Regions from separate parts of the Mus musculus genome. Here region 1 is reported to be linked to region 2. The links are microRNA targets in miRTarBase. Many come from high-throughput screens and were not tested one by one. Region 2 holds a microRNA gene; the other region holds the end of a gene's coding sequence.
Evidence for each region. Region 2 holds the annotated microRNA mmu-miR-9-5p (UCUUUGGUUAUCUAGCUGUAUGA, at 1,909-1,931, opposite strand). A microRNA usually pairs through its seed, bases 2 to 8, with sites in the 3' UTR of a target mRNA and lowers its output. Matches are read on the target gene's strand: a 7mer-m8 pairs with bases 2 to 8, a 7mer-A1 pairs with bases 2 to 7 and ends in A, and an 8mer does both.

Region 1 (4,240 bases), not on the chromosome of region 2:
TTTTGGTCTTACCACCATTTGTCAAATACAGAATGTCTACGTGTGCACGTGCGCATGACCGACACATGCATTTTTGTTTTATACAAGATTAAAATATACCCAAGGCAAAGTAAGCAAAGTACAAAAGAAAAGTCAGGCACGTGGCACACAGCTACACCTAACGGAAGGGCCCTGGGATCTTGGAAGACAGGATTATACAAGTCAGGAAGGCTGGAGACCATGGGGTTTTAACTACCAAAAGGACGTGTTCCCCTAGTCACAGGGCATCAGTAATTGTTTGAACATAAGCCCTTCCCTCCTGGTTGAGTTTTTGGCAATAGCCAAATTTCTTCACCTCATTTAACTTCATAAGGGTTTGGGTTCATTGTGAGGGAGAAACAAGCTTTGGTATTTATTTTATTTAAGGAAACCTTCATAAAACGGTATACATGCAAAATGGTTTCCCTTGAAAATTTCATTGTGATCTACATATATATATTCACAGGTATATTTATTAATCAGTGGAAATCTGGGAAGTATACAAAATAAGTCCTCCCTTTTTTTTCTAATCCCTTAATCTTTAAAGACTACCAAGGGAAACTCTTCTCTTCTAACTCATAAAATAATCTTTCCCCTTTCTAATTCCAATGGAAAAGATAATTTCACCTTGAAGCCAATTTTCCAGCCTCACTATCCTTCCTCTCACGTGCACTGTTTTCAGTGGGGAACTGGTCAGAGTCTCACATCTGCTTTATGAAATAATAAACTATAGGGAAGATTTGCTCTCCTCAAGATAGGCAGGAAAGCGGGATGGGTGGGCAAGTTTTGGTTCCACACTCTGGGTAGTGAAACTCATGAAATCCAATTCCCCTGTCCCTGCAAGGAGCTGTCACCCAGTCCTCCACGAACACCTATCATGACTTAGCCACTGCTGGCATCACTCTGGGGGAGAATGTGACGCCTCATCCCCCAGGACACAAGGTGCAAGAATGAATTTGGCAGAGATAAGCACACCCAGGGAGATTCTGTAGCAGGGTCAGCTGCGGATAACCCACAGACCAGCGAGTGCTCAGTGAAGTCTTACGGAACAGCCCCATAGCCCGCCACTCTGAGCCTTCTCTACAAGGCCAGCTCTTCTTCCATCAGGAAAACAGTCTGTCTCAGGGAACTCCATTTTCAGTTCTGAGGTACCACACTGAGCAACAGAAATGAGACTGGTCACAGAGGCCCTCGGGCTTCTTAGGACCGACAGAGAGGCCAGCTTCATCGGGGGCCACCTCTTCTGTTGCATATGCATTTCAAACCACAATTGGCTCAAGCTGAATGTCCATAGTAAACGCATGTGGTAACCTCTACTTAGAGGACTCCCTCGGGCGACAATACATAAGTTTATATATTTCAACGTGATCTTACTGGTGTTTCTATAGGGAATGGACAAGTTAGGTTTTATTACTGAAGCCAACTGAGTAAGTGTACAAAGACTCAGGGCAGACAGGATACAGTTTGGCCCATGTCCCCACAATTCCCGCTTGTGCCAGCCATGTGCTTAGGAAGCCCACTATAGGCTGCTGTGTGAGCACAGGTGGGGTTACAGAGGTGTGTGGACATCCAGAGGAGTCTCCTAGACATAAGGGGACCCCATCTTTGATTAGGGAGCTTGAACTGCAGCCTCCCCCACCGCAAAGACAGAATGTCACTGAACAAATCAGACAGCAGCAATCAAGGCAAGGCAAGAAGGAGCCAGGGCCCAGGACAGCTGAGATTCCTGACAGGCATTTTAAGGGGTGGTGACTGGATAACATCTCATACAAACTGCAGGCTTGAGGTCTCAAATCTCAGCTACTGACCAGTTTCTCACCACAGAGCATCAAGACCTAGGCTTCACCCAGCAGAAGTCACACCTGTAATTTGCAACTACCAGGGGGACTTTTTGAGTGTGGTTTTGATGAGGACTGAGACTCTAAATGGCTTTAGCTTAATAAAGAAAATCAGTACCAGAGGATGAGAGACCAGTGGTTCTGTTTTACCTCAGTTACTCACTGTCAATTAAAAATAAAGAGAATTATGCCATTGCCCTGCAGGGAGTGTCTGTTAGGGCTTAACATTGACCCATAAACGAAGAGTCATACAGACAGCCCCTAAGGATGTTCCTGCAGTAGTCAAATGCCCAGCCACCCCCTCCCCAAATCTCTACATCTCCTGGGAAGCACACTGGACTATGAAAGCCAACTCTGAGAGAAAGCACTGCTCCCTATTTTCAGAGACGATTTAAGGAATACCTGTGTCTTCTTACTAACTTGCTCTTTGTTGATATGTAACTGTCACATAGCCCAGGGAAGGATCAATTCACAAACTCTGCACATCAGAAAAATTAAGTGAAACAGAAGGGTCTCTCCTTCCTTCCTTCCTTCCTTCCTTCCTTCCTTCCTTCCTTCCTTCCTTCCTTCCTTCCTTCCTTCCTTTATTCCTTTTTTATTCTTTCTCTCTCCTTTTTTCACCTAGCAAGAACAAACTGGTTAGCAGGGTTCAGAGTGTGTGAGCCACATGATTTTTCAAATTACTTAAAACATTTTAACAATGCATAGACTTCAGAAAGCTCTAAGCCAGCCTCCAAGTGTTCCCTAGAGATAGATGACACTGTCTCCTTGATGCCTACCTAAAAAGTTGGGCATGGAATCAAAATAGAGTCACTCGGAGTAAAATTAGTTCAGAGGAGAACATCCGGTTTAAAGATGCGCAAAGGCATCTGATGTCACCCGGGAGAGAGGACTGAAGGGACGCGCCCTGTGAGCTGAACTGGGGCAAAGGGCAATGCTGTGAAGCTAGAGATAATCCTTCAAATGTAGCAGTGTTTTCAAAGAAATGCAATGACACGGGGCCCGTGTGGGTAACAGTACACAGCTCACAGCATTCAAAAACTGATGACAGCAGGTTCCAAGAAAAACACAGAGTGTGCATAAGGCTTTCTGTAGCTCCTGAATAAAATGGTCAGGCCAGAAAAGATTTATATCTATAACTTCATAAAATGCACATTTCGAAAAAAGGCATAGGATGGTTTTTACGCACCTTATTGATTTTTCACTACTCAGTTGACAGGGGGAGAGAGTCTTCTAAAAAGGGTTTTACTAAATGCCTTTAGGAATAAAAACAGTTGTCACAAACAGGGTGGTTTTCTCAAGTCGGATATTCAGGTGCTGGCTGAAGACAGTCTAATCCTTGAAGACTTCTCTTGACACCACAGTGCCATCTGGAAGCCAAGGAGACCCTTTGTCCCAGTGGGTCTCTTAAACTTGACATTTCCAGTCTACGGCCAGGGGGAGGAGACTGCCTGGTATGCAGCTGACGCCACCTCCAGCCAGGTCTGCAGACACAGAACGACTCTGAGGGGATGCCCCCACCCACTTCCGCCTCCCGTGCCTCAGCAGCACCCAGGAGACCACACCCGGGCCTCTGCCCACTTGCTGGCGCCATCCCTGAAATCTCTGCAGCAAGCCGGACACTGAAGCTCAATGGGGCACATAAGGCAAATAACATGTTTAGTGTGAGGGGTGGTAGGGGTAGGGGAGCCACACGTCCCGAGGAAGGGGTCTGTTCCAGCGTCGTGCCATCCTCTAGGTGGGCAGTGGGTCGTCGTCACCTTTACTGCACTTGCATTTGCAGCAAAGCACGAAGGGTGTGGCCAGGAGCAGGAAAGGGGAGGCCACTAAGAGCAGGAGCCCAAATCCAGCAAAAATTCCCACCACCTAGAAGGGAAACATAGGAGAGAGGTGAGGAAGGCTGGTCTGTAGGTTCTATAGCTGAAGTTTAAATTACACCAACTCTCACCCACCATTACCAAATCCATCAATACATCTATATCCATCTATCCATCTACCATCCCGCCATACACTTTCCCATGTATTCATCTATTCAGCTAACCACCCATCTATGCATTCATTCATCCAACCCACCTATCCAACCATCCACAGAGTCACGCATGCATCCATCCACCACCTATCCTCCCATTCATAGATCTATTTCTCTGACGAGCATCCATGGGCCCATCTTTCCTCCTATGTTCCCAACAAACCGCTGGCTCATTCACTTGTATTCCCTCTTCTCCCCGCTTCCTTTCTATTCTCCCTTCATGCTCCACCCCAAGCCATACTTCCATGCATTCAACCATTTTGTGATTTCTCCCTGGACGACCACTATTTGTCAGATCATGGCTAGTTGTCACATAATCAATGGCACCTGAGATCTGGACACTCCAAGAGAACAC
Region 2 (4,562 bases):
TGAAGCTATAAAGAAAAATGTACTGTCCCTGAAGAAAACTTATGCATTTGGGAGTGTCAGTAATTTAGGCCATATGAAAGAAAAGAAGCAATTTTGGAATTTTTTTTCTCATTGCAATGCTTGTATTTATGTGCAAATGCCTATACAAATGTTTGCCTGATAAAATGTAACAGGATGCAAGGAACTTCAAAAAAGGACTACAGTGGTTTCTCCAAAGCCTCAAAGTTTATGCTGGGACTAGTGACTTTTAGATGAAGAGGGAAGAGGAGGAAGAAAAGGAAGAGGAGGGGGAAAAGGGAAAAAAAAAGCTCATCCGCTAGGACAATTCTAAAACAAAACAAGTTCTCTAACATATTGTGATTGTAATCAACTTTCTACAGACTGATGACTTTATAGCTTTATTTCCAGAATGTAGATTAGCATAAGTAGGCCAAGTTCCTGTGTGTCACACAAGGAAGTAAACAACCCGATGAAGTAAGTCATAATAATGAATGCTATGAGACATGACTTTAAAATATAACACAGCCAAAACAAAAGCCAAAGGTGGTCACAAGGCCCTAACCACATACTGAGGACTTCTCTGAGAAGGGCATGCAGTTCTGGGGCACTCTTGGCACCCTTTCCACTTGTTTTCCTTAAATGGTGAAAATTTCAACCAAAGGAGAAATCCAAATTTAATCATGGCCAGATTAAACAGAGGTTTAAAAATGAACAGAGACAGTACATAGCAGCTACCAACCAGTTGGTGTTGCCATTTGGGAGGCTGCAGATGGCTGTGGGTGGGAAATGCCTTTACTTTCTTAAGCGATGGAGATGAGTATGGTGTGTGTGTGCTTGATGTTTTTTTCATACCCCTACCCCCCAACAGGGCTGTCTGTCATAGGCTGCCGGCCAGGCTTTACCACTTGCCCCCGAGCGTGGGAATCGGAGCGTCCTGCCGTTCACATCTCCTGCTTTCCGTTTAGCGGAATCAATTAGGCAAGACAGACCCTCAGATTCCCCACCCCCTTTCCATTTTTGTCAGGTCTATATACGTCCTAATTATTTCAGTTTGGGATGCCAGAGCTGTTTCCTGGATAGACCTGATCATCCTTAAACAAAAAGAGAGGAGGCGCACACGTGGGTTGTGGCGTAAATGTCACTTTCATTTCCAATGCTAGGCGCAGAGTAAGACAGAACATTTTTTTAACACTTTGACAAGAGGGGAGGCGATCTCGTCTCCATCATGTCTTTCTGCTTCAGTAGCTTCCTCAAGGAAACCCTCTTGGAACAGAGAAGCATCTGTCCTTGTATTTTGAATAGAAGAATAAAAATCAGCCTTTGCCCCCACCCCTTTTCCCTGCTAGCTCTAAGTCTTCGGTAGATATAAATTATTAACCTTCCAGTATAAGCTTTACTGAAAGTCTAACTTCACAGAATTTGATGTACACACCCAAATACATAGAAAGTTTCCAGGCACAAGCTTCAAACTTGGGGGAGGGGCCTCAGATAGGAACAGCCCAAATCTACATAATTATGAAATCATTTTTAAGCGAGGTACCAGACATCACTATAACAGCTTTCTAAGAAAAAAAAAGAAAAAAAAAACCTCATATGTAAACGTTTGCTTCAAAATGAACAATATAGAAAATACATGCATCGTCACCCGTAAAAAACACTACACAATTCTCCTCTCCAGTTGTACAAGCCCCTCAAAGCCTGGCCCCTTTAGATTTCAATATGCGTGTCACTTAATTTTCTTGCATCCCACTTTCAATCATAAGATAAAAAAAGTTAGATTCAATAAGCATTCCTGACCTTTCTGGTTTTTACTGTCTCTTGGTTGCAGTCTTTCTTTCCGGAACGTTCCTCGGTGACCTTGAAGGAGTTTTTACTTTCGGTTATCTAGCTTTATGAAGACCAATACACTCATACAGCTAGATAACCAAAGATAACAACTCGCTTCCCTCACAAGGCTGCCTTCCTCTGGCTGAACTCCAGATCTCGATCCTCTTTGGCTTTAGGGAAGCGTAGTCCTCCGGGGTACTTGCCGCGTTTAAGCTTCTCCTTTCATGTAAACATGACCTGGTTTCTGTCTTAGTGTGTGCGGCTAGAACATCCAAATGAGATCTGTTGCATTCAGAGTTTATTCCAAACTTTTCCCCTTCCAGCAAGTAATCTCCAGTATCGTTAGCCAACAATTCATCTATGAGTATCAGAAATTAAGACCAGAGACTAAGGTGCAGCAAGCTGTTGGGGGTGAGCAGCAGTGTCCTTCTCTTCACAGGCCTCTATTTGCATTGTAAATTGCTTCATTCTCACGGAAGATTCTTTAGCCTTCCTCTACTGAGATGTATAAAGCCATCGGCAGTTTCCAACGCTGGTTAAAGAGGAAGAAGGGGGAAATCCCATTCTATAGAAGTGACAGCTGATTCAAAGATCTGCTCCGGATCATTGGGTTAGGCATCATGATCTTTTTTACCAAGTGCAGGCAGCTTGATTGCACATATCTTGTATGTGAATGTTTTAAGGGAGATCCTCGATTTCTTAGGACTTCTAGGCGGGCAGAGCATGCCCTCTTGCTGGCGTACTGCTGCCCCGGTCTGAAAGAAGGAGAAAAGGGCCATCATTGGAGGGGCTTTCACCGCCAAATTGTGGACCAGCCCGGCAAGGTCAAAGGTTTGAGACTGCGGGAGACCAAGGTAATGATGATGTCATGAGAAATCTCAAGTACATGGTTATTGATATGCATCAGTGGTCACCCAACTGCCCCACGCCTGCTGCCAGGAGTAGCACAGGCGACGGCGGCGGCGACGGCGGCAGCGGTGGCGGCGACGGCAGCAGCAGCTTTGCAGCAGTCCCTATATTCTCAATCAACATTTCATCCACTAGCACTACGGACTGCTCCTTGAAAAGCAACCCGCGGCCTTTTACCTCCTTGGCGCTAGTGTAGATCGCTCTAATATCCAAAGAATGGAGAAAATCTCTCTCTAAGGATAGATAAAAGCATTTCAGGTCTGGGGAACTTCTTTGCCTGCATTTCTCTTCTGGCAGATTGCATAGGCAGGCAGATGGAAGGCACTTTACTATTGCTTAAAGCAGGGCCTCGCTTTCTGGGGCTGGGAATCAGCTCTGTTTTTACGCAGTGAGTCGATGGTTACAATGACAATTTGCTTTGGTGTTATGTTTTTAATGGCTTTACAGCTCAGTCATGTTTTCTATCTGTGTACCGTGGCGATAGGGCAGCATATTTGTTCTGTAAGTTCGAACTGCACGATCTAAACAGTGGGGCTTCTTTTTTAAAAATGCTTTGCATATAGAGTGTGTGTGGGGGTTAGCATGCTGCACAGGTAAACATTGCAGCAATAGTTTCAATGTTGTACACAACTCTGCTGTAGCAAAAATGCTGAGCCTTTGTCTACTGTTTTAACATAAATTTCACACTGGACAATAATGCACTAGACTTGCTTATAAAATTAAAATAAAAGTCTTGTCTCCTGAACATGTAGATCCAACACCTGGATGGGGAGGGAGGGAAGCTACCACACCTCCCTGGCCCCACCCACTCATATCCTTCTATCGAGAAGCAGAAGGTCATTTCATTAATTAATTAGCTTCATTCATTGTCTTAGGAGTTTTTAAAGTGTGACTTTAAAATCACTTCAAAGAATCCTTTTCTTTCTCATCCTTTATAATAGATAATCTGTCTAGCACATCTAATATCTAACATTCAAATCCCTCTCAACAAAATATTCATGGTAATCTACATAAGAAGCATGTTCTCTGTGGGTAAACATTATGGATTATTGTTCAAATTACTAATTATTTTTTAGTAATGTTGCTTTTCTTTAAGTTACATGCTAAAGGAGAATTAGTAATTCTAAATGTACATTGCACACATCACCTGTGCCTCACAATGCTCTCAATTCCATAATGTGTCTATTTTCCCCAGTGGCTAAAATACTTTTGGATTTATTAATTTTTTTGGAATAAAATTTTTCTCAGTAATTCACTAATTTATTCATTTAACACATAAATAAGAACCTGGTTATTTAATCACATACAGAGCCCTAAAATCTAAACTCTGTAAAGAAGAGACTGACAAGTTTTTTTTGTTTGTTTGTTTGGTTTGTGTTTTAATGATAGGAAACATCTCCAATGAAGAGTTTAAACATATCACACCAATTAAGATATGGCTTACAGCTTAGTAACAGAGATGCCAATTTGTCCTTATATTAATTTGTTTACTTTTATGGTAAGCATTCTGTAACTGGCTATTGAGAAAAGACTAAGATGTGGAAAGAGTTCGTCTATATTTCTCTTCAAATTATGAACGAGAAGTCAGAAATAAAATACACACGGACACTACAATCCAATCCTAAAGGCATGTTCATAGAGTTTTTGTTCATTCCTAAACCATATGGTCACAGCATAAACAACTCAGTGAAGCGCATGCCACTTCTGACATCATGTAAAAATCCTAATGAGCTTTGCAGCTTGGAAGATTAAAGAGCACCGTGGCCTTGCTTTCCAAGAACTAGCAGCAGAGTAATTAATGATTTGGCTTGTATTACATAAAATAA

Region 1: miRTarBase lists Rnf144a as a target of mmu-miR-9-5p. Seed matches in the 3' UTR shown: 7mer-m8 at 383-389.

The regions. Positions count from the first base shown.
Region 1 is chr12:26,307,068-26,311,307 of GRCm38, forward strand. Rnf144a (ring finger protein 144A) reads right to left here. Exons shown (of 10, transcript NM_001081977.2): 10 at 1-3,722. The coding sequence ends at 3,591. Among named protein-coding and RNA genes, the nearest start is that of 4930549C15Rik, 38 kb to the right of the region's middle.
Region 2 is chr13:83,736,190-83,740,751 of GRCm38, reverse strand. It overlaps Mir9-2 (microRNA 9-2), which reads right to left and starts at 1,938; the gene lies at 1,867-1,938. It overlaps C130071C03Rik (RIKEN cDNA C130071C03 gene), which reads right to left. Exons shown (of 4, transcript NR_152245.1): 4 at 1-2,582. Gm51268 (predicted gene, 51268) reads left to right here and starts at 1,876; the gene lies at 1,876-1,931.